Oryzias latipes: one gene and its partner. The protein of the gene in region 1 purifies or fractionates together with the protein of each later gene. This does not show direct contact. Links are inferred from orthologs where the notes say so. Each region holds a gene or a part of one and is shown on either strand. Other genes may lie near its edges.

What was found.
Region 2: the proteins of rab27b (region 1) and sytl4 purify together in Homo sapiens (co-immunoprecipitation; 3 studies listed by BioGRID and IntAct, counting the BioPlex papers as one, with this or other methods). This does not show direct contact. The link is inferred for Oryzias latipes from reciprocal best matches to the Homo sapiens genes RAB27B and SYTL4.

The regions. Positions count from the first base shown.
Region 1 is NC_019870.2:28,270,447-28,286,018, reverse strand, and holds the start of rab27b (ras-related protein Rab-27B), read right to left. Parts: upstream 7,805-15,572; 5' UTR 7,546-7,804; intron 1-7,545. UniProt on the Homo sapiens protein: Small GTPase which cycles between active GTP-bound and inactive GDP-bound states. In its active state, binds to a variety of effector proteins to regulate homeostasis of late endocytic pathway, including endosomal positioning, maturation and secretion.
Region 2 is NC_019868.2:10,075,683-10,091,242, forward strand, and holds sytl4 (synaptotagmin-like protein 4), read left to right. Parts: upstream 1-1,340; 5' UTR 1,341-1,757; intron 1,758-2,529; 5' UTR 2,530-2,653; coding exon 2,654-2,766; intron 2,767-5,037; coding exon 5,038-5,253; intron 5,254-6,365; coding exon 6,366-6,475; intron 6,476-6,608; coding exon 6,609-6,705; intron 6,706-6,776; coding exon 6,777-6,962; intron 6,963-7,635; coding exon 7,636-7,750; intron 7,751-7,826; coding exon 7,827-7,917; intron 7,918-8,007; coding exon 8,008-8,087; intron 8,088-8,279; coding exon 8,280-8,372; intron 8,373-10,500; coding exon 10,501-10,679; intron 10,680-11,040; coding exon 11,041-11,143; intron 11,144-11,362; coding exon 11,363-11,524; intron 11,525-12,415; coding exon 12,416-12,521; intron 12,522-12,605; coding exon 12,606-12,714; intron 12,715-12,792; coding exon 12,793-13,001; intron 13,002-13,271; coding exon 13,272-13,420; 3' UTR 13,421-13,961; downstream 13,962-15,560. Other genes in the region: sushi repeat-containing protein SRPX2, read right to left, coding at 14,312-14,492. UniProt on the Homo sapiens protein: Modulates exocytosis of dense-core granules and secretion of hormones in the pancreas and the pituitary. Interacts with vesicles containing negatively charged phospholipids in a Ca(2+)-independent manner.

The DNA of each region.
Region 1 (15,572 bases):
TACTCTTTTACGTTTCATGGAACCTGAAAAAACATAGGGAGAGGCTGAGCATGTGCAAAACAAAGTCTTAGTCCTAAACTTGATCTGGCATTTGTCTTTGTGCACTTTATTTTATAGCTTAAACTCCAATAGATCATCTTTTGATCTATAATTAAATCATACCCAGTGGTTTTTTTATTCTGATTATGCGGTTTTCTTTTGTTGTTTTTTTGCCAAAAATCACTAAACGTGTCGTTTTCAAGGACATAGTTTCTGCAGAACAGTTAAAAATTCACCTTTGAGTTGAGGCAGGACTGCTTGTTTGCAGTAAACCTGCCCCCACTTCCTTACACCCATGTCTTTACTAGCTCTCCCACCAGCTTACAACCCCTCAAACCCCCAGGCTAACATTAGCGGTGCAACAAAAATGGTGATCAATATCGTAGCTATCCAGGCGTACAGTTTAGCTCCAGATTCCAGCTCAGACCAGGAAAACAGACGTTCGTGGATCTGTTGGTCTGCTGGTGGATGATCAGAATGGAGCGTCTACGTCGCACATACAAGCTTCTGCAAACTGCATTTTTCTATTATTTGCTCCTGGTTCACAACAGTACGGTTCTCAGACAGGCAATTTGAAGTTGAAATAGAAAAACATGTTCAAAAACACCCATCTTCTGCTAACTGGCATGTGCAAATATGCAGCTCTGACAATTTCTTTTTCTCTTTTAAAGGATCTTTGCTGAGAACCTGGAACTATTTGAGGGTTATTTAATGAAAAAACCAGACTGTTCTTGGCTCAGACAGATTTCTGTTTGCCAGTGAATCTATGAGCTCAGAGAAAATCAGGTTGGTTTTTTTTTCTGGCCTGAGCCGGCTCTCGATCTTCAACTCAATATTATTCCTGCCAAGAAATCTCAGTGGAACGGAAAGTTAATTCTCCTGACAGCACGTCCTCTTGAGAGTCCACACGGGACTTTGAAAGGAGTGTGACTGCAGACGGTCGTCCTCATCCGTGTGGAAACTTTCTGTGTATTAATCCTCTTATGGAAGCTGAATCCTGCTGTTGCCGGTCAATACCTAGCAGGGGGTTAGCGGAGGATGGAGAGAGCCAAAAGGAAGAGGGCATACTGGCTAGAAAGGCCACCTTTAAGCCGAAAGGTCATGCAGAATTATCAGAGCAAAGCCGTGAGCACACGTGCAGCAGGTTTCCTCAGTTAAACCACAGCGGTCGGTGCCTTAGGTTTCACCAGTTTTACCATGGCAACTGCTGAATCATCTCCTGGGCCGCCATGATAACTGCAGATCAGTCCCAAAAGCACTGATGTAGAAATGACACTCAGCCTCTCCCCCCAAACAGAATCACAACCTATCGCAACACGGCTGGAATCAGGAAACCTTTAAATTCTAATTGAAATGTTTAGTGCTAAAAACATTTTGTGGTTCAGCAAACAACACAGAACCAGACACAAGGAAGGAAGGAAGAACGAAGAGAGCGGGCTTATCCTCAGGAGTTCCCACATTTCTATAAAACCTCTGAGACTTCATTAATTATCAGCTTTTCCAGCACAGTTCAAACCGCTTTGACACAAGCATCATCCAAACGTCTGATGATACCGATGCCTCCATCCTGCATATGATTGAAACGCTTTATGTTGTCGCTTTGAGCGACCGTAGTGGCTGTAGCTGTAGGGGTTACTAAGGTTTTAAAAATGAGCTAATAAGAATTGATGACTGCGCCGAGCTTCAACATGAACGCCTCTGAAGATGGTTTCAGCTGCATTTACTGCAAAAGCAGATCAAGGTGTTCCAGGTGTTGGCCAATTTTACCAGCTGTTTGAAAGTCTGTTTAAAGGAATGAACACAGGGGAGTGTGACGCCACTTGTTGGTTGGTTCTGGGCCCATTCAATGTCAAATAACATCAGTTACTTTTCTAAAATGGGGAAATTGAGGGAATATGTCGTCGTTGCATCCCTCTTTGGGGAGGAGGGAGGAAATGGGTACCAAGTACAGAAACAAGAGGGAAGAACATGTCAGCACATCGACCCTCAAGTGACACCCAAGGTAACAGCTGATCCTACCCCCACTTATGCTATGATTCTAACCTGGGAGGAGGGAGAACAGAAGTAACAAAGAATTTGAATAAACTGGGGGGTAAGTATTCCACACAGACGTTTATTAGGGTGAAACAAAAAACAAGGATACTAAAAACAAGGTCTGGGTTGATAAAGATCAATGAATTGATCCAAGCGTAGTAAATCAATGATCCATAAAAGTACAGATCGATCTTTTATACCTTTCCTTTTCCGTTGACCTAACGCATAACAGCAGCAAATCCAAAGTCTGCTAGCTTGATTCTAACTAATTCTAACGAGTTTTAAGCAAAGATTTGTGGTCTAAATTGTGGGGCGGCCGTGATGCAGCAGAAGGGCGGTCAACCCATTATCGTAAGGATGCAGGTTTGATTCCCGCCTTGCACACCCATGAGTCGATGCGTCCTTGGGCAAGACACTAACCCCACCTTGCCTCTGGTTGTAGGTGGGCGCCTGTGTTCGGCAGGGGAGCCGCCACCAGTGTGTGAATATGTGTGCAACTGTAAAGCGTTTTGAGCCTTGTAGGTAGAAAAGCACCATTTACGCCATTCAAATCACAGTTTTTTGCTATAATCTTCTAGAATAAAGTGTAATGCTATAGTGTGAGCTCCACCTAGTGGCCAAACTGAAACGCCCTCCAGGAGAGGCACAACATTTATTTTTGTACCATGTAGTCATTAACGTCGTCACAGTCACCAAAACACAACAACTACTCAAAATGCAACCAAAGATTAAATCTAACAGGGGAATTATGACCCTTGAAAATAAACAACTAATTATAGGCGGTCACAGGCTTCCACAGGCAGACAGCAGCGGCTGAAAAAGAAATTCCTCCCAGGAATTCAGCCGCCACTGGAGCAGGGGATTCTGGAAGCTTTTAAACTTCCCTCCCAGCCTGGCGATTGGTGGGATGAAAGCCTCAAATCAGCTCTACTGGAGGGGGGGCCAGCAGCAGTGGAGGGGCTGGACCTCTGCAGGAGCTGAAATTCACACAAATGCACACACACCAAACAAATGCAAATGCCTTCCCCTATCACAGCCCAACTTTTGTAGTATTGCTGCTTCGTGGGTTTTTTTTCAGCGCGACTTTGCATGTTTTTTTTTTTAGAAAGTGCAAAATTTCTGTGTCCTGCTTGGCAGATGATCTTGTCAATAAATCTCCTCCGTGCCGTGTCTCCTGTACAAATATGTGCAGCGTGTGACATTTGCATAAATCTGATTGCAATCAAATCTTTGTTTTCATTCTCCAATACTGGAAATATTTTTCTATAAAGGTTTAAACTTTGATTAAAGAGTAAAAAGTGTGAAAATGTTTGTCTGTCTGAGAAAACTCTATAAAGTGTGTAGTGAGGACTTTAACTGCCCTAAAACATCTATAATCCTATTTTGCAGATTTCACCTACAGCAGGTTATGTATGGAACAACTCAGACTGTACGAGGGACCACTGAATTCCCAGCTGTTCTCATTTCAGCTCAACATCTGTTAGAACCAAGTTCTCACTTTTAATTCCCAAATTTGACTAAAATCTAGAAATACAAAGCATTGCAGTTCCTCAAAAGGCACTAGGGGCTGGCTTCCAAAGCATTTCCCTAATACCTCTTATGCTAACGAAAACAATTTTACACCAAAAATAAAAATATTAACAGTCTAGTTTCAAAGACTGGTTCGTCTGCTTTCTTTTCCATTAATGACAGCATCTGGAGTCTTTTAGGCGACAGGAGTTATCATTTTGTCCTGTGTTTATACGTCTATTGTATCAACTTATCACAGGCGAAACTCTTCCACTCACTCAGCTACAGCTCTGTTGCCATGATAGTTTTTCCCCAATTGTTCTTTCCAGAATGCGTGGATGTAGATTTAAGGAAGAGACTGGCGTGAAAAGAAAAACAAAGATGTTTCCTTCAAAGTCTACAAATCTACAAAGTCAACAAGCTGCAGCAGCTACTTCTTTCAAAATCAAAGCCCAGAAACACGCCGACGTCTTAGTCCAGGATTGATAGAAAAGCAGAGGAAGAAGGAGCCTTTGTGTGGGCTCGCCTGTTTGAGCTTCTCAGACTCCTTCCATGGGTTATTCTCTGTAAGTGAGTCTCTTTTAGGGTCGTGGAAAACTGTGTTTTTCTGTTCTTTTCCCATCAGAAGGGATTTGAATGAGTATGTCGTCTCTGTTGAAAAGTCTGGAGTTTTCCTTCCACCAATGGTGTGTCCCATCTCCCCATGTACCCTTCAGGGGGAGCAGCAATCAACACATATTTATTTGATCACATTTATCTACAGTGTCTTAAAATTAGACTCAAAGATTCCATTTTTTATTCTTCCTGGCTTTGCCTGCTAATGTGAAAAGACAGTATCATTCAAACCTTAAAGTATTTCTGTAACGATTCATTTTAACAACAATTCTATGCATATCACTCATCTGTGGTTTACGGTTTGATTCCGTCTATATCAAGTCTTTTTGAACGATCCGATTCACCGACCTAAAGTGGATCCAGATCATCTTTATCCAAACTTCCACCAGTGTGACTCAGAGAGAAATTCCTGCTTCTGAACAGTGAGGTTTTCCAGATTCCTTGGGTTTCTTTAAGATAATCAAGTGTAGATGAAATATGGGTCCAAACAAACGAGTAAACTAGAATGAATGTCAAATCCATTCACATTTTAAAATGATTCGATGTGTCAGACAGACCGATCTGGTCGAATAACAGGAATAGAAATTGATTCTTCGATCAATTTGATTAATCGTCACACCGCTAGTTAAAAGTGAAAATATTTCAGACATTTTAACTTAAAATGCCTACTATCAGAAAAAACAACTTTGTTTAAATTTGTAGACCAAAAGATTTGGGTTCGGTTGATAAAATTGATAAATTGATCTGAATCGATCTCTACTTTAATGGATCAATAATCGATCCATTAAAGTAGAGAATCTTTTATGCCTTTCCTTTTCATTTAATACATAACAGCAGTAGAGCCAAAGTCTGCTAGCTTGATGCTAACGTATAATGGAATTTCCCATAGGACGGCTAATGCTAACGCTCGGTAGACCTAAACATACATTGCTGACTAAATAAACCGCTTTAAATTTTAAGGAAACATTTTTTAAAAATTAACCATTTGTGGTCTCAATCACTGTTTTTGGTCAAATCTTCTAGACTAAAGTGAAATGCTATAGCATGAGCGCCACCTAGTGGTTTAACTGAAAGCCCCCCAGGAGAAGCGAAACATGTATTTTTGTAACATGAGCGAGTTTGGAGCCTTTACAATGTTCTTCAAAAACACGCAACACTGCATGTTAACAATCTCATTAGATCATTATTTCACTCGTACATTTTACAGTATGTGAACTGTGTTCTATTAATATGAATACCTTCAAAACATATTTAGAATATTAATGCGTTTCTATACAAACATACCTAAATGTTTAAATTCAATCGTGTAAAGTCAAAATTGAATCGAGTTGATCGAAAGAATAGAAAAAAATGGGATTTGTATGAGCTTGTCGTCTCCACAGATTCTGAATCATCCGGGCTCTTGTGAATCGAATCCATTCTGGAATTTATTATTAATGATCTACAGCTCTACAAAAGATCCGGTGGAAAGGAGCTTAAACATCTCCAAATGTCTGAGTTCAAACAATATCCTGACTTAGGGAGTTTTCTTAGTTCATATCCAAAAGTCTAGAAACTTTCTTAGCTTCTGTGTTTCTCTTTTTCCTAAACGCCTTCAAAGATCTACCAAAGTTAATCTGAACACAACCAGAAGATATTTCTAAATAAATTCAAATTATTCTGGGTAAGGTTATTTTTGTGGAGCTTTGATCTGAGCCACTTTAGTCATTCAGAGCTTAGATTTCTAGAGGACCACATTACAACCTGGAGACAGAACTGCAGGAACATTTGTAAACTCCTAAAGTGACCAGCACATCAGTAAACAAGGTTTTTATGTGCTAAAACACAGAATAATTCAGGTTTAACCCTCCTCTCCAATCCTTAAGGTGCTTTTCCAGAATATTCCACATATCCTTATTATCCTAGATCAGAGGATCCAACAAATGAGTTTACAGGACTAAATAAGATCCAAATTTTATCATATAATGCGGATAAAGTTCGGATAATAAAGCTCAGTTCGTAACCCTTGTGTGAGCGTTGGGAGTTGGGTCATCTAGACCCACTAGACAGTGCTCTGAACCTTTTTTCTTCAATGATTTGTGATCTTCACTGGTGTCCATGGATTACATGAAATCTCTTCACCTTTATCCACCTTTGTCATGGTAGGGAGAACATGTCAATGGAAGGGGGGGGGGTCATCTGGACCCCACAAGACCGCACAAGCGTTAATGTTGGTTAATTCTTTTGGGTTGCAGATGAGCGATGTGTCACTGTGACCCGTTTCCAGACTGGCACCCTCTTTCCTGCTTTGGATTCATCTTATTATCCATTTTCAGTATTTTCCAGCCGAAGTGTGGAAGCACTGGCCAACCGTCCAATCATTAATATGATGTAGGAAGCAAAACACCAACAACAACAACAACAACAACAACAACAACAACAACAAAAAGACTTGAGTGTCAGCAGGCTTTTGTTAAGGGTTGTGGGCACCAAAGCCCCACAAGTACGGCAGCTCAGAGAGGACGGCAGCATGTGAGCTGATACCAGATCCCGGCCTGTGATGGGACAAAACTGTGCAAACCTGATTTCCATATGGAGGCGACCCAAATGCAAATGTGTTTCCAAGCAGCAGCAGTGTTTTTTTCATTTATTTATGTAGAAACTATGTTTAGTTTCCTTTTATAGGAAACTGGTCCAAATCCTGATCACAAAATCTACAGAATCCATGTTTGACTGATTTAACGGTGAGCTAATGTATGACCCTCATGTCATGTCCTACTAGGAAACATTGAATGAAGGAGACAGAATGATGAAAACATTGTTTCAGAGATAAGAAAAGTTTTTCCTGCTTATTTATTAAGACAAGTGAATCCTTCACTTGACTGTCTACAACATATCAGTAAAGAATTGCCCGATCCTTTTTGTCTTTTAGATCAGAAGTTCGGCAGAACCGCAGGTAGGACAAGGAGTGAGAAAGTTAGAGGTGCTGAGGATTCTCCTCCAGGAGAAGTTCTGCTGCAGCTTCTCCTCCAGACTCCCTCCGTCTCCCCCACCCTCACAAAGTTTGCAACTGTTGGAGCCAGCAGTCGCTCCGGAACCAGAACCGTTCCTGAGTCCCGTCAGCGTCCTCACGCGCTCAGCAGACCGCGTGCTCCCGCAGAAGCCGGAGCGCAGAGGAGGCGCGCCTCGCACGCGCCGCGGCTGCAGACTGTCCGGCAGCCCCGCGCCGGCCGGGCTATGACTCATCCCCGCCGCTGCTGCTGCTGCTGCTGCTGCTGCTGCTGCTGCTACGGGGAGCGCGGAGATCCGCCGCCGAACCTCCGAGCGCTGCGGACACGAACCCGCAACCGGCTTTCCTGCGAGACTCACCGCTTTGTGACGAGAAGAAGCCCCTCAGATGCGCTCAGGCGTCTGCTGCGTCTGCTGCCCGGACTCCTCTCCTCCGCCTCCGAGACGTCGCATCGCTCCCCCCGGTCCAGACCGGAGGCAGAGTCCGCTCACAGGCCCCCACACCGGGCTGAGACGGCGCGGGAGGGAGGGAGGGGGGTGCCGGCTGACGACAAGCGGGAGAGTCCCTCTGAGAGGCCGACCAGTCCGATGGACGCCGCTCTGCTTCCTCCGGGAGGGGGGGCGTGACGCCCGCGGTGCTTTTACGGACCTCACGGAGAGCGGGATTACCCTAATTTTCTCAATTTGGAGTCAGAGCACACTCAAACCAGATTTAAATTAAACATTGACACACTGTAGTTTTGGTTGTAATCCCCCTGAAACAGTTATCCATCTTTTTTGGTATTGTCCCAAAGTTAAGGTTTTTTAGCAGAAGATGTGTGATTTTATTAATGATAAAATTGATTCTTGTTTTGTCCTTTTTTGGAAAGATGTCTTGTTGGGTCTAATATCAAAAAATATGCAAAATTTGTTACTCATTTTGGCCAAATTCTATGTTCATAAAAGTAAAATTTATGGTAGAAGACCCTGTCTCACTGTATTCCTTTCTGAATTAAATCAGTATATCAACAGTATTCGAAATTCAGAGAAGCAAAAAGCAATCAGAACATTGTCTGTATGTGATAGATTCAGTATTTTCTCGTAGAGTTTAACCCCTTGGCTTATTTATTTCTATCTCTATTCTTGTTCTTCTGTTTGTTACAGACGTGTATTTGATATTTGCAGTTGTGTTTTTTATTGCATACCTAAAAGTACATCCTTGTAAAATGGCATAATGTGCAATAAAGTTTATTTAAAAAAAAAAGGAGTCAGAGCACACTGAGGAGGAGAGCGGAGTCACTGCATGAACAAAATGAGCTTTAAAGTCCTGACAAAGACATTACTGACATGAAATTCTCTCAAGACACAAAACAAACGACTGACTACAATGTATTCACTGGTAAAATGACTTCACTACCCTGAGCAAAATGTAGCACACTTGATTTCTCTAAGTATACTTGAGTATAAGTATAGTGTACTACAGACCATGGATGCATAGTGTAGAAAGTATACTATCTGAATAATTCTACAGAACATTTTACATTTACAATATATCGATCGAGACACTGCAGTCATCTGACATTGAGAAAAACCTTGTAAAGAAAATATTAGAATTACATTAAATATTTAAATTAGGTAATGTTTTCCTTTGGGTCTACTTTAAATGGGACTGATATGACTGGATGTCCACAGTGTAGTTGCAGCTCCTTCACCTGAACTCTAACTAACTGGATGTCAATTAAAGAATTTCCAAAACAAAGAGAAAACTTTTATTTAATTTTATTTATTTATTTTTTGCTAAAGCCAATAATGGTGCAGTATAGTAAGCATGTTTGCATCAGAAATGGCAGTTTACTAGTAATTCCCACAGTAAGTGAATGCACCAAAGGAAAAGAATTGCAGTTCCACGATACAAACTGAAGTCGAAAATGTTCTTCTGGGTCATAACGTCCTCCATATTTCTCCACTTTCAGTTTACCTGTAAGTTCAACAGGTGGAGGCTCAAAGCAACGGTTCTGACATTTAGCAATTTTTTTAATCATTTAGACGCAGCAGCAGATAAGACCCAAGAGTTTTATCATTTAAATAATTCACTTCACGCAAAAACAACAATTAGAAACAAAGTCCATGATAAATGCAATGCAAAAAAATAACACTAAGACTGTAATTAAGGATGAATCAGGAAACATCCATCTTGTCTGCATCTGCACAGCATGGTCAAAGCCTGCAGGAGGCCTTCAGTGGATGCTGCTCTTCTCAGTGACCTCATTTTAGATTCACTCATTCCTGCAACCTTGAGTGAAACAAGGAAACAGAAAAAATTTAAAAGCTCGGGAACCTGTTTCTTTGAAAAGAGCCATTGTCTCACGTTGGAAACTCCACCATGAACTCTGGTTAAATGTGTTGGAGCTCACAGCAAAAGGAAAAATAGAAAGATTCATGGAAATAAAGAACACCTATCCGGAATTTTAGTGTAAAATCACATTCAAATTTAAATTGCACCATCCTGGAAAAAGCGTGTGCTCAATGAGAAGATGTTTGTTTTATTATCCTGAACGACAAACTGCAGCATCAGTGGCTGTGCTCCTTTTTCTGAACATTCATTTGCTACTGCAGTTCAGGAGCAGGACCCACTGTCTGGATTCTCTAACTGTCCCTTCCATTGTTTCTGCAACTGAGCTCAGACCAGCCCAGTACAGAAAGATTACAGTCTGGTTTGCATGTTGTGCTGGAATCCTTTCCTCTCTGCAGCGGGTCAAGTGCTGGTTTGCTCAGCGTTCATCCTGAAGGGTTTGTTTCAGACAAAAGAAGTGTTGGGTTGGATTCTGTCAGAGCAGGAACCCGTGGAAGAAACTAACAAAGTGTTGCTTTTCTGCTTTGAATTGTTGATATTATTGCAAACATGGATCTTTTTTGGTGCGCAGAGATGAGTAAGGGTCATTGGCCTCCCAAGTGTGCATTATCAGAATTCTGCAAGTCCAGAATTACAGTTTGGATCAATTTCTTTCTCATAAAGCAGAGTGTTTGTTACGTGGTGCGTTGTCACGGTAACGTGACAACCCGCCACACCACTGCTGCAGTCAAGGTCTGGCGGTATAAAGCGATATATCAATGCTGAAGGTCATGATGGGTTAAATGAAGCATCAGTTCAGAGAGAAAGTTCACCCCTTACCGCTTGTTTTTGTCCAGAGAATGAAGCTAAAGTTTATTTTTAAAGAAGCTGGCGCAGTGATACAGAACATGTAAGCTATGTGACCGGAACTTATTTTTTAGGCGTGCATCATCACTGTGCATTGTCACTTTTTAATGCACACCCAGCAGCCAATGAGAATCGAGTATTTACTATTGGTCTAATAACTAAAATAGCACCTCATTGATGTGTTTACCTCCAGAAGAACTCACTGACAGTAAACAACGTGTGGAAAAACTTACTACTCAACCCCAATTAATCACTCAGTCAATTCTTATTGGCTCCCATGTTAGTTGTCATGGAAACCAGGCATCTCTGCAGGCATGTTATGTGTACGATGCTGCATTGTGAAGAGAAGCACAGCTCCGTGCTGGGAGTGTTCGTGCTGCAGATGTGGATCACAGGGAGAGTTAAAGAACTGCCTCATGTGTGACCTCGAGTGTCCAAACATCAAGGCGCCGTCAGGACTAAACCGCCTCATGCTGCCATAGAGACATGAGTGTGGATTCAGAATGGTGGGGGTTCTCTTTTTAATTAGTCAGGACTTACAGAAAGGGTTAAAGCAAAAAGAAAAGAGGAAGAAGAAGAAAGGATGCAGACATTCAGTAATGGTGGTTGAGGAATGCTGCAGAAGTAAAGGTGTCCTGCACAGCATGAACTCTGGACCTGCAGAGAGCCAGAACAGCCCAGGCTGGACGGCTGCTGGGTGTGTGGCTTTGTACAGCAATCTGGGAAGTTTATGTGTTTCATTTTTTTCCCGCCATCACAGTTTAGTGTCCAGAGTGACCGTACTGCTACAAATTACAGTCTGAACCGGTTCCAACAGCAAAGTGACGAAGGAAGTTCCTGTGAATTTTGGTGCAAACGGTGAATGATCTTGATTTTGTTTTCTTTGTAACCCAAAGAACTATCGTGGGTTTGAGGAAGCTCCTTAAGCGAGAGGCTCTCACTGACAGGTTACACAAACGGAACTCAAAAATCCTTTTCTCACGAAAGTTCATTTGGTTCCGGATCAGTGCTTATCTGGATCTGCTCAAGCTTCCTAAAGAGCCTGTTTTCCACAGACACAAGCCTAAGTCAGAACCACATTACTGCACCGTCCGACACGCCGTGGTCTGCAGAGAGGAAGAGGGTAGGACAGCTCTGGAAGAGGAAATAAACAAGGTCGTCGTTTATAACTTGGATGTCTACGTTGACCATCACACATGGTCAAAAGTCCACTCCATCTCATCTTCAGGCCAACTTTGTTCATGTAAAAATTCATTTCTATTCAATTTTATTTGTATAGCCCAAATTCCCAACAACAGTCGTCTGGATTGGCTCTGTAACGGTAATTGAAAGAGTAAAACATAAAATCAAAAGGATCATGAGTACATAGAACTCAATCAGAAAAAGCTAAATTGAACTAACTAAACGAAACTGGCATCCCTGCTCTTAGACCCCCCTTCGCGGTCAGGAAAAACTCCCAAAAAAAATGGATTCTGGAAAAACAAAGAAACCTCAGGGGTGCCCACATGAAGGAGGGATCCTCCCCCAGGACGGACAGGCGATGTACCAGAACTCATAGAGAAGAATTAACTTATCTAAATCTACAACTACATGGGTAACCCTTGTGCTATCCTAGGCACGTTGACATTGGGAGTGGGGTCATCTAGACCCACTAGACAGTGCTCTGAACCTTTTTTCTTCAATGATTTGTGATCTTCACTGGTGTCCATGGATTACATGAAATCTTTCCACCTTTATCCACCTTTGTCATGGTAGGGAGAACATGTCAATGCAAGGGTGGGGTCATCTAAGATACCACAAGGGTTAAAGTCCAGCAGATGAACTTCATCCAGACGGAGTTGGGGGGACAACCGGGGGCGCGAGACGAGCCGGAGGCAGGATCCACAGCCAAGTGTTTAACCCAGGTAAACCCCACAGTTCACCACAGATGTAATCGGTCTGAAGTGGTTCTTCACTGTGGCCGTCAAAAAAACTGGTTTCTGTGAAGAACAAGTTTTGTGAGCCAGAAGCTGGTGCTTAGATGGTGGGACACCAAAGAACTGAGGCTGGGTCAGGGTCTGACACAGAACCTGAACTGGAGCCATCTCCAGAGAAAAATGGGCTGTAGGTTCAAGAAGAGAGCACCTGCTTTCGGTGCTGACCACCAACAATTTGACTACAGTTGGTGGAAGAAGGAGAGGAGGCAGTGACTGCAAAGCAGTGTTCCAGGACAGCAGTGATGGAAGACATGAAAGTAGCTGGCGTTGGAGTAGAGCAAGCAGAAGACTGGGTTAGATGGAGGAAGCTGATTCGCTGTGGTGATCCCTGAAGAGGAAAACTGACTCATGCCAGAGACGATCCATCCATCCAGCCATCCGTCTTCTGAATCCCTCTCAGGGTCACAGGGTTGCTGGAGCCTGTCCCTGCTACAGTCAGGTGAGGTTCACCCTGAAAGGGTGACCAGTCTGTTGCAGGGGCCACAGATGGTCTTTGTAGGTGCCATGAATTAACTTGGGTTTTTGTTAGGGTGAATGAATTTTATTTTTTGTTTATGTTTTGATTATAGGCCATTGAGTAGGCAATCAGCTGGTGGGTCACATGTTTGTGGGCGGTGACATTAATTGATTTTAACTCGCCTGTGGTTTTTCCCTGTGTAAAATGGAAGGGGGGGGGGGGGGGGGGGAGCTGGGTTGCCGTATTTTTTGTTGACTGCTTTCTAGGCTTTTTTTTCACTTTTGTGCTTTTTTTAATTCTTTGTTTGTTCTCTTTTTTTGATCACAATATAACAAGTGGATTAAAACTTCATAATACAAACGTCATTATGCTTCCTGGTTTTTGAGCGCGTCATTCAACCCGGACCCAGCATCAGCCTCTCAGCGACTGGTTGGTTTTGAAGTCGTAAAGAAAAAACGTCTCAACAGTCAGTGGTTCTGTTTAAAATCCTGCAGCTTTAGAGGATCCTTTGTCACCACAGTTATCACAAACTGAGGCAGCGATTGGACCTTATGACAAACTCTATGAGATTTCCTTTAGGCCTCTGACTTACCTGTGACATGAGTGGCAGTGACTTTGTGAGTCTGAGGCATTCAGCTTCAGAGATTTGGCACAAAAGATAAAATGAAAAAACTTGAAAAAGTTTACATGTAAACAAACCTGCAAGATGCCACTGATGGAACTGTATGAGGCAAGACATGATCAATAAATACAGAAATGTCACTTCTGCATAGCACCTATGCAGAAGTGACATTTCTGTATTTATTGATCATGTCTTGTTAAATGAATGTGTAACAGGTACAAAACTGTAAATGAAAATACACATATCATCGCTCCTTTTGTCTTGTTTTATTTGTCTATTTTAAACTCTTGTGTTTATTTTCATTTGTGTTTGAAATAGAGAAAATTGAATTGAATTGCAAACATTTTTGTAAAATCCAGTAGCAAGAAAGATGATTAGTTTCTTTAGTGATCCTCAATTCCCTCTTCTTCACACTCATCCTTTATCCTTTTCCTTTCACAGCTTTCTCCAGTATTTAGGTATATCTGGAATACACTGCAGAAACAGGCCCCCTTAGAAACAGTCTGACCCTATTGGCACATTTTATCTAAATAATCAGGAAAATCTGTCAATGAGGTCAGAAAAATGTATTTGCGCTTTCTCAGAATGTATTTTTTCCTGAATTGACTTCATTCAAAAATCTATGAAAGCATAAATTTCTAAAAGATTTTCACCTAGAAATAATGTTTCCAGAATTCTTGATACGTGTTTGCTGCCTTTGGACTTCCTTGACGCTGCAAACATTCACTTCTGGAATCTGTTGATCTCTTATCACACAAGTTTGAAACAACAAGATCAGCTTTGGTTTCGTTTGAGAAATGAGGGGAAAACAGCAGGAAGTGTTTGATCAGATGACGGGAAAAGCTGTTCTGTAAACAGCAGAAAAGTCGGAAATAAGAATAATTCAAACAAAATAGATCTAAGGGCACAAACTGCAGCTTCTGATGGGTAACAGTAGATGGGAAGGGACTGTTGCAGGGAATGGTTTTGTACAACCCGTGCCGCTGAGAGGCGTCGCTCACGGTGAGCAGCATTCCCCTTCCTCGAATGAAACCAAATTCCTTCCAACATTTTCCCACAAACTGAGTGTGTCAAAGGTCTCAAGCTTTGAGGCATCAGAACCAGCATCTGTTCCGCATTCAGGACCCACTCCAAACCTGCCGGGCCAGAAAAACCGGATCTGTGATCCATCTCCGATGGAATGCTGACTCTTGTTTCTTGCACACAGGTGTGGTCCAGGTATGAGGAGGACCGGAAGGAAACGTAGGGATTGGGTCCGTGGATTCCCTGGTCTAAGGACTTGGGTTTCAGGTGTTACCCCTCAGTGGGGTACCATACTGTGGCTTATGTTTCCAGTACCTCCTTGTCTGTAGATCCAACTAAGCAAAGTCAGGTTTGACACCATCAAACGACACGGACAAGAGGACCAGCGACCTGTTCCAGAGTTGGATTCAAACCAGGAAGTACGTAATGTTACAGTTCCAAAAATGACCGTTGCAGGCTGGTTGCAGAAGAAAGTGATGCCCCATTAAATCCGATGTTAAAAAAACAGATTTTACTCCCAAAATGAACCCGTTTACTTTCTGGTTTAGAGAACATTTTCAATGTACTTTGTTTTACTCTCTCTTAATGACAGCTGTGTTTGTGATGGTTGGGGTAGAGGTCCACTCAAGGTCCCATGAGATGGTGGACCCTAGGAACCTGTGTGAGTCTGTTAGGAGGACAGTGCTGTTGAGAATTGTGAGTGGGGTAGGGGGGTGGATGTAGGGTAGATGTTGTGGAGATAAAAGAAGCAGATGGTTTTGACACGTAGAGGAATAACAGTGATGATGTTGGTGAAAGGATGATGAGGTTGGAGCTACCAAAGAGGAGGTTCATGGACGTAGAGGAGGAGATGCAGGTGGATGGTATGAGTGAGTGGCATCAGCTGGTGGACTGGATCAGGTTTGTGCTCAAGTGGAGGAATTTCTGACCAATCAGCATCAACCTTCAAGTCCATGTCTGTGATTGGCTGGCTTTTGTGGCACATTTGTGAGGCAGCTTACTGCCAGAAGAGAGTTACATTTGTTTGCACATATTTATGAGGTTCAAGTGCAAAATAATTTTCTGAGCACACATTTTTTTTACAGATTTACGCCCAAAACAGAGAGTGTTGCGCTTGGAATAATTGACTTA
Region 2 (15,560 bases), on another chromosome or scaffold:
TTATAGACTGGACCGTTGGTGCAATGTGAGCCTTCCCACACTCCCATCATCCATCTGTTTACACTCTGTCACAGCCCCTCACACCTCCAACTGCTGTGACCAAAATGGCGAGCAAATTTGGAGCTATCCAGCCACAAACAAAGATGTACATGCATCTAGTCATTTACAAGTGGATGTATCAGAATGGAGCAGGGCCGGGAATTTGCCAACTACCTACATCACTGCTACAAGCTTTTCCAACAAGATTTTTTTCGTCTGCTCCTAATTCACAATTTAACTTTTTTTTAAATACTCAGAATCACAAATTTTAAGCGTAATTTTCTTTATATAGAGTGAAGACCGAAAGTTTGGACACACTTTGTGTGTACAGTCCAAACCTTTGGTCTACATCCTCCATCATGAGAAAAATGCTACCAGAAAATTTTAAAAACACCCAAAATGTAATTTTCATTGAAGTGGGTAATAATTGTTTATATTTTGCGCAAATATACTGGATTCCTTTTATGTTTCACGAAGCTAAATAAACATCAATATGTTACAATAATGAAGAGTGTAATCAGAATAAAATAATCTATTCTGTTATGATTTCAAAATAACATGGCCATGCTTGTTCCTGTATTTTGTTACGTTTCTCAAAGAAGAGCAGCTTATCCTGAACTGTGACTTATTTATAATTTTTGTTCCTTCTTTATCGTCCACTTTTTGGCTGCTGCAGCTTGTACTCCAGAACAATTTGTAGCCTGAAAAATACACTATATTTAAACCAAATTAGAACTGTATTTTTGTACAATAAGCAAAGAGTTTCTTTCTTTGTCAGGAGGTGCTAAGGACTAGTGGTCTTAAAACTCAGCAATTAAAGCACCACATTATTATGCTGCGTCTATTAGCAGGAACAGTCATGTTAATTTTTAATGTGAAATCATGGAAAACATACAAATGAGTGGGGAAGTGATTCACAGGAGCATCACAACCATTCAACACACTTATTTCCAAGCGTTATGTGATGTCTAACAACAATTTAAAACATCTAAAAAGTAAATAAATGACTAGTTGGTTTTTAAGTGGGGCAGCAGAGTTTTAACTGTAAAGGAGCAGTGTTTACTTAATGGTGCGTTAATCCCCCAAACACGCCTCAACAAATAATAATGGCACCTTCCAAAGAAAGAGCGACAAGAATGGCCTGTTCCGACTTAGAAAAAAAAAACACGTTTTACTTTAAAACTCTTGTTCGCTCTGGGTTAACGCATTTAAAGCTAAAAATAAAAGTTTTCCAAGTTTGGTCACACATAAAGGGGGGGGGGGTGATACCAATCAAGCTGGTGTTCGTGACTTTTCCACATTCTCTGATCAACAGTTAAGGAAACGCGTCTGTCGTGGAAAAGCGCTCGCGCCCGCCTGCTGCTGGGAACTTTCCTTTCATCTTCCGGTACTTGTTGGGACTCCTGCGGCGCCGCGCGCACCGAACTCCCTGCTCCCGGAGGCGAGGAGACAACCTGGCTGGAAGGGGGTATGGTTGTAGAAGAAGAGGAGGAGCGCTGTGCTGTAGTTTGTGGTAGCTCCACGACACTTGAGTGCAGGATTAGCATGTGCGCCGCTGTTTGCTGCGGTTTCTGTCGGTCGCGGTGAAGCAGAGCCGTCGAGCTTCTTCTTCACGCACGCAGGTGTGCGTTTCCTCTCAATTAGCCTGAGTGTGGACTCATTGACGCGGTGGCAGTCCGCAGAGGTCCTTCACTTCAGCGACCGCCCTGAAGAACAACGTAGGTTATCAAGTATTTTAAATGTTTTATCGACGTTTACCCTATTTAGCCTCAGCAACTCGTTGAAAATCACATCAAACGATGCTTTTTTTTCATTAGTCGAAATATCAATTCTGTTTTAATTTGTGATTATTATCAAAACTAATTATTATTTAGAAGGTAGCCATTCGCAAACATTTGTCATTTTCAGTTGAAAAATAAAATATGGCCTCAATAATGTGTTTTTAAAAACTCGTTTGAATTTTAGTGTTATTTCCTGTTCAATTGTAAGTTGCCCTCCTCCTCCTGCTGTCCTGCTGGTACATTATTATTTTTAGTGAGGCTCAGGCATTCAGAAAACGAGGAAAAAGCCTTTCCAGTCTGTGTCTTTGCCTATTCACTGTAAATTAGTTTATACATCTATATGAGTTTTAACTGACACCATAACAGATGATCACTGTCAGATGAAGATTAAATAAATAAACTGCTGAACTCCACCCTGTCATCTCTCTGCTGGAGGGTGGGAACCAGGCATGACATTCATGTTGTTTTACCATGGTTGACTTTAAACGACCTCACTCCCCGTCAGAGGCACTCTGGTGGATTTTTAGACGCCCCTACATGCTGGATCTGTATTCCCACCCATCAGGGAATAGTTGATAGTTTGCTTTACAGCTGCAGATTTATGTCTCATGTCATGTGAAAATGTTAATTTCTTGGCAAACGTATTTTAACCTTTAAAGGAGGTCTACTTGAATATGTGACTTTATATTTTTTGGGTTTGTTCTGCAAGGCTAAACACAGATTCAGCTTTTGCTGTCTTCCCAAACTGTGGCTTCCTCTTCATGGATCTTGTCTCAGTGGAACGGCTTTAGCCTTAAACCAGTTTATCCACACGGTTCCTAATTGAAATCGCCATGGCTCTGGAAATGATCAATCTGAGCTTCTTGTCCGACTTGGAGCGGGAGAAGATCCTGGAAGTGCTGAAACGGGACGAGGAGCTGAGGCTCACGGAGGAGCGGCGTGTACGGTAAGAAAACAGAAACTCTTATTCGTTTTTACAGTTTCTATAATCTGAAACATTTAACACATGTAAATATTTTAAGGCATGACTAGGACTGAGCATCACTGCCAAAAATACTGAACTGATTTGACATCGCTTCGATAACTTTTGACTTGATTTTGAATTTGATGCGATTTGATTTAATACTTATTAATCAAATTTCTATATAACCCAATTTTGTTTAGTTTTTAAAAAGTTTTCACACAACAACTGATATAAACTAAACAAATATGGAACTTTTATTACTAAAAATTCTCACATTTAAAACGTTTGAAAGCACTTTTTTGTTAGAAAAACAAGTGTAAGAAATTATTAGAAGACCCACTCTAATGGAAATAGATTAATGAACATCTTCATTTTTGTTTTTTTTACATTTTCTTGGAGCATTGTTCTTATGATGGAGGCATATGTGAAGGAAATTAGGATTAAAGTTTCTTTATTCAAATCAATGTAATTCAGGAGCAGAAGAACAAACACTGTTTGAAAGAGCTTGTCATTGCAGCTCTCCTCCGCTCCATTCCAGTGCATCCACTTGTAGACAATTATATCCATTAACGTCTTTTCGTAGCACCAGTAAAGTTAGGTTGAGGTTGTGAAGGGCTGTAAGCCAGTGGGAGAGAGTGTGAACAGAAGAGGTGATGGGAAATGAGTGAAGGCTTACTATCCACCAAGAGTCTAACCCACAACTCAGAGGTGAATTTCTAATAAACTACTGCCGCGCTGCAGAAAAAATGTCCTATAAAAAGTCTTTTTTTTAGATTGTTTTATCTAAAAATATAAATAATATTAATTATAAGACCTCTGGGAACACTTTTACAATAGATCAAAAGATGATTGGAGGGGAACTTTAACTGAAAACTTTTTTCTAAAGTAAAAAAATAAGATCAATTTGGTGTTAAGAGATACTTTTTTTTAACCCTTCAGCTCTTGGATTTCCTAGAGAATTTGGATTTTATGAAGTTATTTATTTAAATAATAACACTGACATGTTTATTGTTTCATCTATGCCAGAAAGTGTAGTAAATGTACTTGGAAAGCGTCTTCTTCATCCTGGATAAATGGCTTTAGCTCTTTGCTGATTTTAGGATAATTCTTTTAAAGACATTGGCATGATTGATGCTTGTTTGAATTAATTGTTCCTGAGCAGGTTCTCCTGCATTTTAGTTAGTATGGTGTTTCTTCAAGTAACCTGTTGCTTTATTATTCAAAGATTTAAGACTTCCAGGTTTTTACCACTATCAGGATCTGGGATTTAACCAAACTATCTCCAGATCTCAGCCCAGTTTTCCAGCTACAATATGATTCACTATGTCGTACCAGGGTATATCACCATGGTAACTTCTGCTGCACACATACTCACCTCCACAGCGGATCTGGGCTTGTCCAGAGTGAAGAAAGAAGCACATTTAAATTTAGAAATGCCTTCTTCTTAGCTTCTCCTCCGGGCTACAGATGTAGAAACTATCTGGGATTTATCTGGATTATATTTTGAAATTTTTCAATTTTTTTAAGAAATCGTTTCTCTGGTTTCAAATATCTTTTTTGTCATTAAATAAAACATTGAAGCCCTTTTTTTAAAACCCATAAAAGTTTTTAGATGTGCTTTGAGTGAGTCTTGGAGCAGTAGAATTTATATTTTTAAAGACCCACTGCGATCATCTTTTGATCCATTGTAAAAGCGTTTGTGAATTTGCCTGAGAGGTGTGGGTGGGACCATTGATGCAGAGTTACCCCCGCCCCCTTCCCATCACCTATAACTGAGCTGTTTACACACTCTCCTGGGTGCTACCTAACATTAGCTCTGCAACAAAAATGCTGAGCAATATTGGAGCTATTCAGCTGTGCAGTTTTGAGTCCGATGTCAGCTCAGACGAGGAAACCAAGACGTACATCTTTTCATCTATAAGTGGATGCAAAAGAACGGAGCGGATCAAGAAGCTTGTGACTCGCCATGTGTTTTCTCTACATCACAATGAGCTCTTTTCCAACAGCACTTTTTTCATCTGCTCCTGATTCCCAATGATTAGAATAAAGAAATACTCTGAAATTCCATTTTTAAACTGAGTTTTATGCATATATGTCCTCCATCATTCGAAAAATACCACAAGAACATGTTAAAAACACCAAAAACCGAATTTCTAACAGTGTAAGTCTTAAGAAGTTGACATGTATGCCTGTAATTGGTTTGTAAAAGTCTTTGTGTGTTGACGGTGCTGTGATCTGTGCTTTTGCTCTCAGGAAGCTGAAGACGGAGCTATTGGAAGTAAAGAGGAAAGGGGCCAAACGTAGCAGTGGAAAGTACAGCGAACACAGCTGTGGCAGATGCCAGGAACCTCTAAGTCGGCTGGCAGTTTTTAACAGCCAGTGTAAGATCTGCAAACACAACGTGTGCCGCAACTGCCAAGCAGTCCTGCCTGACGGGTCGTGGTTCTGCACCGTGTGTGTCAAAGAATCGTAAGATCAATGTCCCTCAACATACTCAAATTCCTTACTGTTTGTGACTCCTATAGTAGCTTTTTTTCCCTGCTCAGTTCTCTGCACAAGTTTCACGCTGTCCGGTTATGGCAGCTATGGGCAGAAGGGGATGAACAGTTGGTGTTTTTGCCAAAAAAATAAGTCAAATCTTTAACAAAGCACCTTTTGATTTTACAAATAAAATTAAATATAATATATTGAGTTAAAAGTTGACTCAATTTTAACAGTTGCAGTCTGCTTTAATTTCATTATGTCCTTTTATACATAGTTATATCTATGATTTGTGCTGGATTGGATTAAGTGGGGTCATTTTTTTATCTGTCTGTACTTTTTTTTTACTTTAACTTCTCTGAAATCTTAATTCAATTAGACAAAAAAAAGCTTGAGAATGGTTTGCACATCTTCAATGAGCTGCACACAATGGCAAAGGTTTTTGTCGAATTAGTTTTGGTCAGAAATATTTCCCATATTGGGACCTTTTATACTGTAGAAGAAATCAGTCATTTTTACTGTCTGCTGAAAGATAAATCAATTTGTGTCAGTGCATATTTTATGTCTCATGCACTTGCTGGACCTCACAAACAATGCCTAAAAGGTTTTTGCAGTCATCAAACAGGTTTTCTGACTGATAGTGCACCGAGGATGGCATGTGGAAGGCATTTCTTTGTTTTGGTATCTGTACTCTGTAAACCTGTGGTATGAACAGTGCTAGATCTTTCATAACTTATCTCACATCTGAACACAGAAATGTATTAGTGCTCACTTGTCTTGCAGTTGGAACTTGTGCTTCAACTTAAAAAGAAAGAATGTAAAACACACATTGGGCTTTTTACTGGTACAGGTAGAGAAAATGCTGCAGAGTATTCATTCTTTACAGATTTTAACAATTGGAAACAAAAGGTTAAACACTCCACAACTTTCCCTTTTTCTTTTCATTTTTTTAGTTTAACACCAACTATTTCTACTTTCTGATCTTAATGCTTCATAGTGACCTCTCAATTATGTATCAATATCTACAACACCATAATTAGTTTTATACAAGCTCTGTTTATTGTGGATCTTTTTAATAAGCTAAATGTGTGGAATTCCAGGGATGTGAAGAAAAGAACAGGCGACTGGTTTTATGATCAAAGGGCCAACCGCTTTTCCATGACTCCTGCACTTGACCTCGTGAGAGCTTCCCTGAAAAAGAGGCCGCAATGTGAGTCCAGGAGCCGGAAGTGCTCGCCAGCCCACTGTTATGAAAACATGTGGTAAAGTGATAGATTTATTCCACTTTATTGAAAGTACAATTGTGAACATGTCTTGTCGTTTGTTGCTGTGTGTTGTTTCAGTTAAAAAGCGTGTTACGACTGGGCAAGGGCTTCTAGAGAGTACTGAGAAAAATCCAGATCCACCCAAACCCATTCCTGTTCCCAGACAGAAGAAAAGGTGCTGCTTCTTCTTTATCAGGCTCTCGAGAAAAAGAAATGTTTCAACTTTCTTTATGTTCTCCTCAACAGCAATTCGAGCGAGACGCTTGGATCCATCGCTTCCAGGGAGTCAAGTGAATCAAAGACCAGCGTTTCATCAAAAACAAGTTTTTCTTCCAAGCCAAGTCGCAGCGACACGGAGTCTGCAGAAAACCGCAGTGTCACCAGCATCAGAACTGATACAGAATCTGGTTGTGTGACTCCTGAGGAGACAGGGTAAACTCAGATTTAATAACCATATTCAGCCTTTTCATCACTTCTCACTGTAATTACATTGTTTTTCCTTCAACTAATATTTGGTTTGGTTTAAAGCCAAATGTGAGACACAAATTTAGGCAAGGCAAGTTTATTTTTATAGCACAATTCGTACACAAAGTAATTCAAGGTGCTTCACAAAACAGAAAAATGCATTAAAATCAAAATACATCATAGAAATAATCAACGTAAAATTTACTTTAAAAAAAAAAAAGAAAAAAAATTGAAAATTGATTTAAAAAGAAAGGAAGGAAATGAAAGAAAAGTGCAGATAGGACCTTTCAGTCATATACACGGCTAAACAGAAACGTTTTAAGTCTAGATTTGAACATGAAGACAGAAGAGGCCTGTCTTACGACTTCAGGGAGGCTGTTCCAGATTTTAGCTGCAGAATATTGAAACGCTGATTTCCCTTGTTTAGTTCTGACTCTTGGAATCAACAATTTAAGCTTAAGACCCAAACAAACTTTCCTGAGACGTCCCAACTTTACGTTGATTTCATTAAATTATTAATTAAACTGTCATATAATTACAGCAGAGATGGTAAAGATGTCATGCTTTTTAAATGGGTTATAAAAGAGATTTTGTATATTTTTTTAATTTCATGTTATTGATCATTTATTCTGTAAATCAGAGAACTGCAGCGGTCCAACGCCTCCAGCCCAACACCATCCAGGGCTCCCAGTTTGTCTGTCCCAGTTACAGCAGATGCCGTCAGCACTGACAGCAGCAACTCCAATCCTATAGCTGTAAGAAAAGCTTTTAGTATATATTATTAATTAATTTCTCCTCTACTGTAGTTATATTATTTTCCTTCAATTGTAGTTGGTTGAAGAAAAGCCAGTCAGTTTGAGCCCTGAGCTGGATGTTGAAAAACTCTTCAAGAAGAGCATGAAGCGAACTCAAACACCTGCAGGTCTGTATATCTATTTCAACATGTGTGGCCAAATTACAAAATGAACATTTTTTTATTGATCTTTCTTTTTTGGGGGGTTTGCATCAACAGTGGACTCTATGGATGGATGTCGCAACCCGGAGGCCTCAATGGGAAAGAGGAGCCGCTCCGTTCCAGGCTTAGATTTACAGGTGGACATGTAGAAAAAGGAAACAGCGCTTCATTTCCAGCAGATATATTTCTGAAACGTTGTTTTGTTCTTCTTTTGACCACCGTTTTTATTTGTTTCTTTAAGTAGTTTTCCTTTTTTTATTTAAGGCTTACTTTTGCTAGGGTAAAATGCCACCGTTATTCGTTTAGTTTAGTTTGTTTGTTTTCCACAGGAGGATGAGGAGGAGGAAGAAGATATTGACACCTTGGTAAACTTTCACAAAAAACAAATGACTAAAAGTCACTCCAACCTCTACAACTCAAAGGTAACGCCACTTAAGTTTCTCCCAGCTCGTAAAGTTGCAGGTTTGAAAGTTAATCTGTTGACAACATTTGTCTATTTTGAAATCTTAAAAGTCAGCGGCCTGCCTGTGGAATTTACAATAATATTTTTGGGAACAGTTGTGTGGTATTACTTTTTCAACAGATCAACAGTTTAGCTTATTGGATGCAATAGCTTTATTTAATCTTTAAGCATTTTCGTAAATATTGTTTTAAATTATTGTCTAAAAGTGAACTTTTTCAGTTTTGGAGACAAAGGCTACGTTCACACTGCAGGGCTTAATGCTCAATTCCGATTTTTTGAAAAAATCCGAATTGTTTGCTAGACCGTTCACATTTCCAAGTAAATCCGAACTTTTGTGATCTACAGTGTGACCGTGAAACAACCCAGAGTTGACCCGCATGCGCAGAAGAGTACTCGACGTCGAATGACGTCACTCGTTGTTTGCAGAAGTAGCTTACGTTAACATGGATGTCAACAACAGTGTTGTCAACAGCAGAGCTCTTTTTTCATTAATAAATTTATTTTCACAAAGGAGCCAGCACAATAACAATCTTCCCATTTTTAAGAAGGCATTGGAGGCGGGATCGTCTGTAACCACTTTTGTGGAATGTATTGGGCCCACGCGCGCGCGCGGTTGTGTAAGGGACAGGAAAAGAGCGCGTGCAGTGGGAGAGAATGGGGGGGGCGGCAGTGTGGGCGCGCATTCATGTTGTGTGTTACGGAGGAAGGACAACGGTAATAAAAGGAGGTTTCCCCCAGAATTAATGCTATGGACTCTTTATTAACCCATTCCGGAGAATCCTGGAGAATCTATGGGTCAGAACAGGGAGGAGGAGGAGGATCCGCCTTGGGTCCCCCGCGCTTCTGACCACGGTCGGGTAGGGGAGAAAGGAAAAAAAAAAAGTACTCGCGAGAAAATGTTCAACACCACGCTCGGCCATTTAGCTGTTAATTTTTTTTTAAAAACCGCCCGGTTGCGATAAGAGCCCTGGAGTTTGGCCTGAAAAGTGCTGTCACCCCAAATATTAATACAATCGGGGACGTTGCTTCCCTTCCACTGACTGGTCTCTGCAGCATCGTCCGCCGTGGTTGCTGTTTACGTTCTCGTTCCCGCCTATTTCAACGCAGAATGATGACGTTTGTTGCGTATCGATGACGTACGATTCGGATTTAGGTGGCCTGGCCAGTCAGACGGCAGTCGCAATTGAAAAGATCGGATACGTTTCGGATTCAGGACGGCAAACCCAAGTGGCCTGGGTCGCATTTGAAAAGATCGGATCTGTGTCATTCAGACTGTCATGAAAAGATCGGAATTGGGTCGCATAGGGGCAAAAAAATCAGAATTGGGTCGTTTCAGCCTGCAGTGTGAACGTAGCCAAAGACGATTGATCAGAAACTACTAAACGAAGTCAGGCAGGGACCTCATATCAGGAGAGATAATGAGGTTTGTCAGAAGTAGACAGCATCCCACTTTGTTTAGAAACATTAAATACACATAAGATAAAGGCACCAAGGCACAGTCCTTAGATGAGAGCTGCTGGGCAATGCAGTGGGGAGTTGAGGCTCACTTTAGCCAATGGCTTGTCTGCATGTAGACTAACAGAAAAGCTTCAATCTGAGCGAACTTGCTTTGCTAAAAGCTGTTCATGCAAAAGCATCAAGTACACAAATCTAAATCATCCAGAAAACCTCATGGAGATTCTTTTAAGCATAGCAAACATTTACAAAAACAGTTCATCCAGATTTTGCTGAAGGCGTTTCTGCAGGAAATAAACTATGAGGTATGCTATAATTTTTGCTTGCCGCTTCTACATTTTTCATAGTTTTTTCTTTTTTTCAGGAAATGAGCGTAGTAATCTATTATTATCTGTTCATAGGAATATCTGATAAAACCCTATAGATTTAAAGATGGTGAAGAAATTGAAATATTTAAATGATTGTAATAAACATGTAGACGAGATGTTGAAAGCGCTTAGTGTTTTTTTTTTTTTGGGTACATTTAAATGATTTTTTGTCTGTCATGCTAAGATTGTATCTAATTCTTTTTCTAGCTAAAGTCTGCTCAAGTCTTAGCATTGACAAAGATGGTTCCCCTTTTGTTCACCCAGAGCTCGCTAGGCAGCACGATGAGTATTTACAGCGATGCAGGAGACTATGGCACCGTGGAGGTGAGCGGGCAGGTTGTCTTTGCTCTGCGATACGACGAGCACACCCAGAGCTTGCAGGTTTTCATCAAGGAGTGCCAGGGTCTGGCTCACGGTGACGCCTCACGGAAGCTGTCCAACCCGTAAATATTCTACTCCTTCCAGAGATAGCTGTAACAGGAAGCTGCTGAATGTCGAAAGCAGACCTTACTGAGATTTTTCACATCATGCCGCTGTGCTGGTTGTGTGTTTTTAAAAAGCAAAAAACCCACACATTTTCAAGTAAAAACACACCCCCAAGTAATGTTAGCACAGCTTTGATCAGTGCAGATAAGGGGCTGTGTTTACAGTCTGCATGCTTGCATCCCAGGGGTGATTAGCAAAGCTTCACAGGAAGTTAAACGTCAACAGAAATTCTTTCTCAGCACTTAGTCAGGAAATGCTGCAGAAGATTAGCGATCATGTTGAGGAGAAGCTTTCTCTGACCTGCTCTCTTTTTTTCAGTTATGTAAAATGTTATCTGCTCCACGGCAAAACTCGCCAAAACAAGAAGAAGACCAGTATCAAGAAAAACACCATCAACCCTGTTTTCAGTGAAACTCTAAAGGTGATTGGCTAACCCTGACCTCCAAATCTCCAAATAAATAAACTGAAGTCACTTTAATGCATAGACTGATAAAAAAATAAATAAATTAAAAAGTCAATGGAATGTGAAACCATCAATATGCATCCTCTAATAAGTTTGAATCCCAGTCCTGATTAATTTAAACTGGCTTGGGTTTGTTTGAGCCTTCAATCATGGATGTTGTTTTTTTTTTTTCAACAGTACTCCATGAGCCGCTCTGAACTGCTCGGCCAATCTGTGTCGATATCCGTTTGGCATCATGGCCGCCTCAGCCGTAACGTCTTCCTGGGGGAGGTGACAATCCCTTTGGACAGTGCAAACCTGGACACTCCTCATGAAGAATGTTTGCACCTCATGGGGAAGGTGGGTCAGACTCTACACGTTTATTACTAACCAAGTTGTCTTTTCTTTTTACTTTTAAAATGGAAGCTGTGCAAACAGAGCTGTGATCCCCTCCTAATGTTCAGAGTATAGAAAAGGCAGTCAGAGGATTTCCCAACCTTATCTAAAATACAGTGGTCCCTTGCTAGAACGCGGTTCACCTATCACAGTTTTGCTGTGTGTTTGCAGTACAGAATAAATTAAGCTTATAAAGATGATCTTTGGTTTCATTCTACAACCTAACTCCCTTGATAAATGAAAGAACACTGTACACTGTACTTGTCATTTTAATTTGAAAGACCTTTTTATTAAGATCTGGAAAAAATAACTTTTAATCTGGAGTAAACTTTGAAGTAAAGAGTTGCGCTGTCTGTATTTTGTTAAAAAATTAGGAGTGTGTGAGACAACAAGTGTATTTTACGAAAGATTACAAATGTAATTCAGTTAAATTTAGATTCTTTGTCTGTAAATTAAACATTATTATTATTGATCATAATGGATTTGGTCCCTAAATAACTGTGTATCTGTTTGTTTCAGGGCAGAGGAATTTACAGGCCTGTCAGTCTATACCAAAAAGTTTTTTTTCAGCAGAACAAGTCTTAGTATTATTCAGATTAGAATGTTCAATGTGTGATTCAATGCAACATCTGATAAGTGTAACAAAATCTAAAACAACTTAATAAAATATCATCAGAGAAGTTAAATCAGTTTTACCTTGTAGAAGAAACTGTTTCTACTGAGCAGCAGTGGACAGAATTTGTTATGGTGTCATTCAAACAGACGTGGATTTGTCAGCCCAAGTGATCCTTTGATGGCGTTTGTCACCATTCTGATGTTTCTACTGCTTCGTAATGATGTTTTCTTCTCTAACAGATGAGCTCTGATGTACCAGATGCAGCCTTTGAACGGTGCAGTGGAGAGTTGGTCATCTCACTGAAGTATGTCCCTCCCAATAAGACTACCACTGAAAAAGTGAAAGGTATTTTGAAAACATGTATTTTCTGTCTTTTTATTTTATTAAAGCTTTTACCCCTTTTTTTCAAGTATTTAAATTTTCCTTCAGGCAAAAAAGCTGCACAAGTCCAAAGAGGAGAGCTGCATGTTCTCATCAAGGAGGCAAAAAATCTGAAGTCAGGAAAATCTGGAAGCACATCAGACAGTTTTGTTAGAGGGTAAAGGATGGAGTCTGCTTTGGAACATCTCTTTTTGTTTGTTGTTGCTCAACTAACATGGTGTGTGTGGCTCTACAGTCACTTGTTTCCATCAAAGGCAAAGACGGCGAAGATGAAGACTCCAGTGGTGAAGAAGAACCTGAATCCCCACTATGATTCCACATTTGTGTATAAGGAGCTGACTCTGGAGCAGATGAAGGACATGTGTTTGGAGCTGACAGTGTGGGACAAAGAGGCCGTGCTGAACAATGAATTACTGGGAGGTGTCCGCCTCAGCTCTGGCAACGGTATAAACATAACACTCTTATCGCCTCAATGAGGAAAAAGTTTGAGGACGCTCCACAGCATTTCAGCAAATACAGAGACAAACGCTCACAGAGACACAGGAGCGGTGACTTTATTAAGACAAAAATGATAAAATGTTAAATACTTTTTAAAAATGTATTGTTTACACATTATCTTTAGTTCCTGTTCTGTGGATAGTAAAGTTTTTCCAATTCTTGTGTGAGCACAAGAGTAGAAAATGCATTCCTTCAATATTACCTTCCTCTCTGCAGGAGCTATCAAAGTTGGGAAAGAGGAGGTGGAGTTGGACTCTGTTGGAGAGGAAGTCAGTCTGTGGCAGAAGATGATGCAGTACCCTGACTCGTGGGCAGAGGGCACTCTTCCTCTGCGCTCCACCATGGCAAAGACAAAGGGGAAATGAAGGCTGAACACTAAGAGATCCAGACACTAAAGTGATGAGAAGTGAAAAGTGCAGAAACTGAGACCAAATTGATGTTCTGGCTTTCTTCCAGCTTTCATGCCAACCAGCCACCGCCACTGTTGGATATGCTGAGTTAAGACCTACCTCTCTGTAGGTTCCATGACTTCAGACTGTTGAGAAACGTGCCAAAGCATCACCACACTCAGTTTATTTCTGTTTTTAAAATCCAGATTGTGTTTGTTAAAGTTTCCAAACTTTAGATCCACTTTGCCTCACTGCTTCTTTTTATTGTATCCAGAACACAGAACAGTTCTCTCTCTCTATGCTGTAACCGAACTGTGCCTTTGTTCAATCCAACACAATTGCACTTTAGGACTGACGTGAATGATCTGTGTATATAAATAAGTTGAATTAAAGCCAGTAAATGAAACTCTTGATTTTAAATGTACATTTGATCTCTTAAGCTCGTCTTTACAATGTGATGGAGGTCACACTGACCTCAAAGATTTGTTCACCCAATAAAAGGGACAGAGTAAATGCACTAGCAGAGTCGTGTTCACTCCCACCTGAAAATGTTTGTCCTTTTCTGTTTTTGTGTTGAATCCTGAAGAGTTTTTAACTTCTGACATGTGAGAGTCGCTGGACGACTTTAGTAAAAATGGCTGTTTTTACATATTTGATCAGTCATCAAGTGTAAATTATAAAAATCCAATATCTCAGCATATTTTAATCGTTTTCTTCATATGAATCTCCCTCAGTATTTGCTCTTCTGTGTTTTGTGATCACATTGAATCAGAAAAGCCCGTTTATTCTTTAAATATTTTTTACAAATCTATCTTTGGATCTGGGTTTTGGTTGTCAGTCCTCCTCCTCAGCCTGAGAACTCTGAATTTAGTCACAGAAGTCTCTGTGGAGGTCCAGCCTCTCGCGTTCCTCCTCATCCAGCAGGAAGCTGTCTATGTAGGAGAACAGCTCCTCCTGAGATACGGGAGTAATGAAGCGTTCACGGTCCAGCCCCCGCTCATCCAGCAGCACCATGCTGAAGTAGGTTCTGGAGATTCTGAAGGCTTGCCTGAAGAGAGAATACAAGCAGTTTTAAGACCAGCACAGTTCATTGCCTTAAATGTGATTACAGAAAAAAAGCTTTTATTAGGAAAGAAAAAAACTTCAAAACCTCTCAGCTAGGAATTGGAAACTGACTCTGGAGCAACAAACAAAAGTGGAATTGGAAACTTTTGTTTTCAATTCCACTTTTGTTTGTTGCTCCAGAGTCAGTTTCCAATTCCTGGTGGATTAACAGGAAATTTGACTTCCAAAGAGCCAGATTTCAGCAAAGATCTGCTTGGGAGAGAGAATTTTGTTCTAGCTAAAACAGCAGGATACCATTGGAGATGTTTGTGGAAGGTCATCCTTTTAAAAGCAGAACATTTGGTATCAAGATGATCAAATAGTTCACATTCCTCCACTCTACACTGAGACCGTCTGTGGGGGATCTGTTATGCTTCAGTGCAGAGGCAGAGATTCAGGTCACAAAGAGATCAGATGGATTTCTGCTTCAAAACCTTGTTGGTATTACTATTGGCTGTGATGTTTATCAGATGATTGAACTGCAGTGATGTTCATGGCAGAAATACAAAGACAGCTCTACGACTCCTGACCACTATGTGTGTTGGACAAACAGGGCTACGTTAAAACAACTGATGCTGACTGCAGTATCAAAAGTGATCAAAACAGATATTTTTGTGTACCCCATTTGTCCCGAAATTGAGATTAAATCCAAACGTTTCCTTTGTCAATTTTGCTATTTTTGAAACCTTAGAGCTGTTTCCTTCATCCAATCATTAATAAATAAATGATAACGTGGAAAAGCTGGGAGTTTTTTTAAGTTTGGAATCGCTGAGCAGATCCTTTACCCAAAGTTCACAGCATGGGTAAAAGAATTTGGAGAGGGGAGACTCTTGGTGGCTCTTTAAATATAAAAAAAACCTTGGAGGTTGGAGCAAAATCTGAATACCAAAACCTTAAAAAAAAGTTGCTTGTTGTTGTTTTGCAGAGTTCAAACTCATGTAAAGATTTGAGTGCTGCTTTTAGGAACACTCTTCCATTTCCTTATAATGTTTATTATTCTATCCAAGTAATG